Drosophila melanogaster: one gene and its partner. The protein of the gene in region 2 interacts with the protein of the main gene of each other region in a pairwise test. Each region holds a gene or a part of one and is shown on either strand. Other genes may lie near its edges.

Region 1 (3,760 bases), on a different chromosome or scaffold from region 2:
TGAGATGCAGAAGTGCTGTTTTATTTTCAATATACAGCTTGGGCACAGTTGCACCATTGTACCATGCGAGAAGTAACGGTCGCGAAGAAGAAGGCAAATAATAAAAAGCTGCAGCCGCAAGTTGCGCAGCCTGCAACAGCTCCGGCAACATAACGGTACTCGTTCGCTCGCTCTCTCTTTCTCCTGGCTCGGCACTTAACCGATGTACCCTACATTTGGCTTCGCAAAACATAAACAAGGAAATGCAGCCGTGAACACGAAACGAATTGCGGTAGGTTCTCCGTTCGGCAAAGAGCGAGCTCCAAAAGAGGCGAAGAGAGCCGGGGCTCGTAAGCCGGCCGCATTGCTGTTGTTGGAGCTGAGAGAGCCAGCACGGCACCCAAACAAACACTTAAGCAACAACAACAACGGCTGCTGACTGAAGGGAAGGTGCCAGAGGGGCTTTAAACCCAAGAGCGCAAGCTAGAAAGAGCATCAGAGAGAGAGAGAGCAAGGCAGGAGCGTAGGACGAGCTCAACTTGACATCATCATCATTTGTGTCAAAAGACCATTGAACTTTGCGAGCGGATGGAACAGAACAGCTCCACCCCCATCCCGCTGCCTACAAGTATGCAACAATACCTCGCTCTCCTTATTTATATGCGGTTTGTTTTGTTGCTGCTTGCACACCATCACAATAACAGCAACCCACATGCATGCACTCACTTTGCATAGGTGTTGGGGCCCAATGCATCTCAAAATGTTGCGCTTTTAACCCTTACCTAACTGATCAGACATGTAAGGCCCTTTCATGAAAATGTCCTGTGTTTGGGAAATCGGGAAAATCCCCACGATGTAGTTATAAATGACATACTATAGATTTGTGTACAATAAGTGGCTGTGTTAAATCTTCTTTAGCGAATAGGTTTTTATGTAATTCATTCTTGTTGCCTTACCTTACTTGTGATGGATAATGGTCGTGTTCCATTGATGTTCAATAATATAACGCCCATTGCAGGATTCCTGAATAGGGTTCAGATATGGGTTCCTGGCACTACGGCCTTGAGCTGAAGATGAATGTTCTTGCCTCTGCGGATGTGCATATAAAATTCGGTTAATTTAATTATTTAAATGAATAATTGATTTTCAGCTTACTGGTGCTTCCCACTGCGACTGATTCTGACGTGAGCCGCCAGAGTTCCAGCTTTGGTTGTCATAAAAGCCCCTAGATTGGTTGGGATAAAGCCAAGATAGCGGTGGTTGTGGTAGATCCCCTTTATTGGGCTTCCTGTTGTTGTTCCACGCTAAGGAAGGCTGCTTGATCTTGTTGCCGTGCTTCTCCTCGATGTTCGGGGACACATTCTCGCATTTAACTTGAACCTTGTACCACGAGGCGTCTGTATGCTTACGTTTGATGGTCATATCCTCCTCGCTGGTGGAGTCATACACGTGGCCCTTGATGGGTCTCTTTCTCTGACAATTGTTGACTTTCTCTGGCTCTGGTCCTCCTGTTAATACCCCTGGAATTTGCGGATGTGCCTTACGTCGTTGGCGCTGATATTGCCTTCTCTTGTTGCGAGTGTACCTGGGGATCTCACCCACAAAATCGCTTTGATTTTGCATTCCTTATGATGAAGTTGTAAACGATGAATTCGAAGAATCGACACCACGCTGTCGAAAGCACAGCAAGTAACACGTTGAGTTGCTAACACTGACAGACTACTTTGGCGACTTACCAGCACTGATCGATTAATCATGCAAAAAGTTTTTCTCGTATTGATCGAAACTTCCTTTCGTCATGAGCATTATCAAGATAAGAAATCGTTTTAATTGCATTCGGCTTCAAGTGTTCCCCTAAGGAACAGGAGTTAAGAATTTCCAGCTTTTGTTTGAAACAGATGGACATGAATTTATAACCTTGCCTGGTCACACTGAATTTTTAAAGCATCTCCTTCCGTTATTACAACCATCCATAGTGTTAAAAAAAAGCAAGACACAAAAGGCAGTTATGTAAATGTTACAATTTTTGATGTTTTATTCGTTCGATTTATCAACTACTGTTACGGTAATTGCATATTAAATTGGTTGTTGTTCTGTTGTTGCTTAAACTTTAATAAGTGTACTTGGTTTTAGCTGCGGCTGAATTTAATTATATTTGTACAAAATATATATTTACTTTTAGCTTTGTCAATGAACAACATGTTTTGCATTCATTTTGGTTTTCTACTCGCTTTCCACGTTCCAAAGTCCAGCTTAAAACTTAATTCTGTTGGTTTTGCTGTTCGATCTGTCGGTTCGGTTTTGTTTTTGTTTTTGTTTGGTTTTCTTTTGTTTCGTTTCACTACAATAACGCTTAACAAAATAGAATTATTAACTATTACTAGGCGCGTTTCGTTTGTTTTTGTTGTTGTTGTGGTTGTTGTTGTTGTTCTTGTCGGTTGCTTATTGCTGCACGTTAATCTTGTCACTTCGAAAAAATTTAACTATGATTTCTACGTTGTTTAGTTTAATTCATCGTGTATATATATAAAAATATATATATATTATATATCTTTATATATACCAATATATAGTTATTTATAGTTAGGCATGTAATTATGCTTACTTTAATTATATGCATGTTTGTGTCCGTGTCTTCCCGCCTACGTAATTGTATTATTTACATCGTTTTAATAATTAACAATACATATGTATGCATGTGTACCAATTTATAATAATTACACTTATGTAGTTGCACTGCACAATAAAGTTGCGCAAATTCTCCATCGGCATTCGGCACTCGTCATTTTAGTGATAACTTAAAATTTGTCTACAATTTAAATGTTTGTTTTCGGTTTCATTTGTCGAATGCGAGCGAATGCCTTGTTTCCCCAGAACCATTACTAATATTAATTTAATATTCTTTCTTACTTTGTTTTGCTTTCCGTTTTGTTTTTCGTTACATTTTTGCTTTGATTTTCGTAGTTTCGATTTCGTACATGCCAAAATAAAAGTCAACAAGAAAATGCTGGCTGCTCAACTCGGTCAATATATGAATGTATTCCAGAATCCTACCATCCTACCATCGTACCATCCTATCCCAATCCCCACTCATTTTCAAATTCTGCTGATTGAAGTTGGCTTAAAGTAGTTTACAGCGCTCACTTTTTGGCATTTAAAAATATATTTCTTGTATACTGGCGGCTATATGTACAGCTTATATAACTATTTCGAGGGCAAGTCTATTTCGATTGATTTTTAACTCGTTTAAGTCTACTAATGCACTATTAGTTGTTGCGTCTGTGTGAGAGTTTTGAGGCACCCATTATGAATTTATGAATTATGTTGGGAATAGACTGTGGATGAGGTGGTTTTATGGATGGGTTGAAAGAAATAAAACCAAAAGAGAAATACAATTGCGTGTATATATTTGAAATATATATTAATATAAATATATATTGTTTTCATTCATGTATTTTGTTCTAAAAACGTGTTGTGATTGCTTTTTAAAAATTAATTTAAAATTAATAAAATAGTTGCGTTAAACATAATTCATATAGAAATATTATAAAGAATTTATAACTATAACTTTTCTTTATATATGCCATAATATGTATAATTATATTTGCTAACATTTTTCTTTACCAAGGCTGCAAAGTAAAATTAACTAAAACTTAAACAATTTAAAAAGCCGTTCATCTTCCTTACTGTACGCATACGAAAACAAAATTCAACTAAAATGTTTATGTTTTTGGGTAACAGGAAAAGGGGGTAGGGTGGGCGGGGGGGGGGGGGGGTGGGC
Region 2 (3,760 bases):
CATTTCCTGCCAAGGACAACACCACCATCAACATCAGCACCAAAATGTGAACAACATACCACGCGATGACAAACCAGATCATCATCGTCATGAAGATCACAGAGAGACCAGCACCTGGATACCCATAATCAAGTACAACAAGGAGCAGAGTGACGATGGAAGCTACAAGACAGAATACGAGACGGGCAATAGCATCATTCATGAGGAAACCGGTTTCCTCAAGGACTTCGACACCAATCCAAATGGGGTGTTGGTTCAGCATGGCCAGTACTCCTACCAATCCCCCGAGGGAACTCTGGTCAATGTGCAGTACACGGCCGACGAGAATGGATTCAGGGCCACAGGTGATCACATTCCTACTCCGCCGGCTATTCCCGAGGAGATACAGAAGGGTTTGGATCAGATCTACGCTGGCATTAAACTGCAGCAGGAGCGTCTGGAGCAGAGGGCCAAGACAGATCCAGACTTTGCGAGGAAACTGGAGGAGCGACGCGTGGCCAACCAGAATGGCCAGTACATCGGTCTGCTGGAGAACCAATAGACGAGCTCCGCCCATTCCATTCCCCCACCGAACCGATGATCCTGGAAACGTAACTTCTTCGCATTCTATATCAACAACAACAAGACTGTGATTTCATTCTGCAAGCTCTTCCAAATCCAAATCGCTGTACCACACTGAATGATAATCGTTTAATAACTTTTGAATTTCCCACTAAGTACCATAAAACCAACAGACAGGGGCGCTCAATCAAATTAATAATATTTTATTAACGAGTGTGAAAGTTTCGCTGCTTTGAAACAATAAAAGTAAACTAACGTTTCCATTATGCCGAACCGACTTGATGATGGACTTACCATATTTTCTGGCATTATTTTTTTCCGTTTTACAGCTGACCATATCCACGATGTTCAGACAAACGTGACAAAGCGTTTATGGGTCCTCATTATTTTCTCAAAGTATTTCCCCATTTACCGTGCATCTTTCGTTGCTTTATTATTTACTTCGCAGATCGAATTACGTTAGTTTGTTGATCCCATTCCATGCAGGTTGGGTTTTCCAATTTTCCATATTTCTACATCGCCGCCATGGAAATTTTCTTTCGAGAGGAGTCTCTCGACTGGTTGCCAGTTGCATAATTACGACAGATTTTCCAGTGCCATTCGACTTGTCTTCGCGGGCAGGCGTTGCATGTGGAAAGGCTGAGGAAGCCAGTTGAAGTGGTCCACGAATGGGTTACTGGCGTAGCCCCGATTTCGCGCCGAGAAACCTCTTCGTTCTGCCAATTATTGTATTTAACGTAGGCTACCTTTACCGTTTGGCATTTCGAATGGAGTAGCCCTTGGCTACGCAAATATTGAAACCAAAAACCACTGTCATCAGGTTGAAAGAACAAACAACCGAATAACCTTTTGGGCCACAAAACGGCAAACGATTTGGCCACCTAACATATTTGCATATAACGTAAACACACTGACTATACTCTGCGGTTATTTCTAGCTGAATATAAATCAAATCCGCTGCATTTTCACCACCGCCGTAGAAACAGACCCCGAAAGCGGGGCCCCGAAGAATGTTTATTCGCCATTAAGTTTCAACGCTCTTGCGCATAATTAAGACGAAAAAAAAACCATATAATAACGAAGCCGAACAAAGGAAAATTTCTATGGCCCGTGATTAGAAAGAATCTTTCTTGTGGGCCTGTGCGGTGCTGGAATTGATTTGGCCAACTCAGTTGCCGTTTACAAGCCGTCGCGTGCAGATCGCAAATCGCCAGCAAAAGAGATACTTCCTCTACAATATACAATATCTATAAGAAAGCTGAAGATCGAATTCGCAAGAGCGTTACACCGAAAACTGGTAGCGATAATACAAATATTTGTTTGTGGGGAGTGAAAAGAAATGGGGAAGTGAAGTGGTTGATCGACAGAAAAGTGAAGATGTGAAGAACTGTAGATGTGAATATTACATTGACATCGAAGCAACGTCAAAGAAAAAATAGCAGAAGCCAAAAATTAAACAATAGATTGTTATTGTGGCTGCTGAAAACGAGAATGAATCAATAAACCTATAAAAACGAACTGTAAAATTGAAAAGTAGCACAGCATCTGCAAAAAAAGAAGATAGACGTGTTCAATTTAAATATGGTTAGTCATTGGAAAGAGTGTCTACTGTGGTCGCTGATAGCCCTCAGTGGCTGCCAGCTAATTGCCACACAGCAGCTGCAGGGTCCTCCCCGTCCCAGGGGGCGTATACGCATTGCGGATATGCAAAATCCCGTTTCAGTCGGCGGAGCACCTGCTCAGGCATTGGGAAACTGGCCAATTGTGCCGGCTGCAGGCCCCATCAGTTCCACTGTGCACACCCACATTCCACTGTGGCGCGAGGAGACCGCCCCCCTGCCGGCCACGCCCAGTCAGGAGGCGGTGGTGTACGGCAACTGGAAGCCAGAGCATCCGGAGAGGCCCGAGAAGGTGGACACGAAAATCGATTCGGAACCGCAGCCCAAGGAGCGGGTCTACGGACGCCTGGAAGCCATGCTCATGGGATTGCCGGCAGATGGTAAGAATTCAACTTCGAATGTGAATTTCCTATTAATATAAGTATCATTAAAAACAAGCAAACGCTGCTAGAATTTAATGAAACTAAAGTCTGCTTAGTCTTTTATTTAATAGGTTAAATATATTTTCAATAACCTGAATTATTAATCTCTAATGTTATTGATTTATATTAATGATAACTATATTGAAACCTAAACATCTTTTTAAAAAGATCTTCATGTAGCGTTTAATTTGGTCTCTGTTTCGAAATTGTTTGCTCATGTCTCAAATACTTCTATGCCGCAGCTATTGATGCCAAGCCATCAAGTTCCAGCGAAGAGCTGTCCGCTCCTATTGCCCCTGGTGGCTACCAGAATCCTGCCTATTCCCGACCAGTCAGTCGTGAAAGTTCAGCAGAGAAATATGGACGCCGGCGCATCAGTACTCAGCAGGTGCCACAACAATTCGAGTTGGCCAGGGTCAACGATTCGGAACCCATATTGAAGGCAATATCCAAGCAGATCAACGAGTCCGTGGAGACGACGACGGACAATCGAAGGAATTCCAAGAATTCCGCCGACGACAACTGGTTGCCCCTGCCGTATCCGTATCCTTACGATACCACAATGCCAGCTCCACCTGCAACGAGCTCCGTGGTACCAGGATTTATGCAATCCTCGGTGGTGCATCCACCGGTTCCCACACAGCCCACTAGATCCACTGCGGGTCTATTGAATTGGCCCACTGATTTCATCGATAGCACATCCCTTACGGTGAGCACCGAAAGGATAGATGGGAGCATTCAGGGGAGCATTGACCGGCGCGACGAGAGCGTCTCTGATCCTGTGGACGAATACAAGTACTACGAGGATTCTCTAAACTCCGCCCAGATGCACAGCGAACTGAGTGTTCCAGAGACCGTGCCGCTGAATATAACCCGGGTGGGCATTCCTTACGAGGATCGAAATGCCTCTGAGGAGCCAACCATATGTGTGCCTCTCACCGTCTCGGAAACTTCGCTTTCCTCCGACAGCATTGTGCCCCAGTTGGTGGAGGTCGAAAGGGTCTACTGCTTCCCCCTTCCCAAGGTGGAGATACGTCCTGGTCATGCTCGTCCGCAGGTAGAACAGGTGACGAGGCAGCAGGAGATACTAGATGCAGATATGGATATACAGCCAACCCAAGTGGCTATACCGAGTGATTCCGGCGCCGGATCCCCGCA

The links. Proteins that work in one complex are often made in the same cells at the same time.
Region 1: the proteins of CG13157 (region 2) and Rbp9 interact in a two-hybrid assay, tested with the Drosophila melanogaster proteins (one large-scale study listed by BioGRID).

What each region holds. Positions count from the first base shown.
Region 1 is NT_033779.5:2,952,688-2,956,447, reverse strand, and holds the start of Rbp9 (RNA-binding protein 9), read right to left. Parts: upstream 1,687-3,760; 5' UTR 1,135-1,686; intron 1,069-1,134; 5' UTR 941-1,068; intron 1-940.
Region 2 is NT_033778.4:12,414,313-12,418,072, forward strand, and holds the start of CG13157 (uncharacterized protein), read left to right. Parts: upstream 1-1,731; 5' UTR 1,732-2,142; coding exon 2,143-2,560; intron 2,561-2,844; coding exon 2,845-3,760. Other genes in the region: Cpr49Ah (cuticular protein 49Ah), read left to right, coding at 1-541.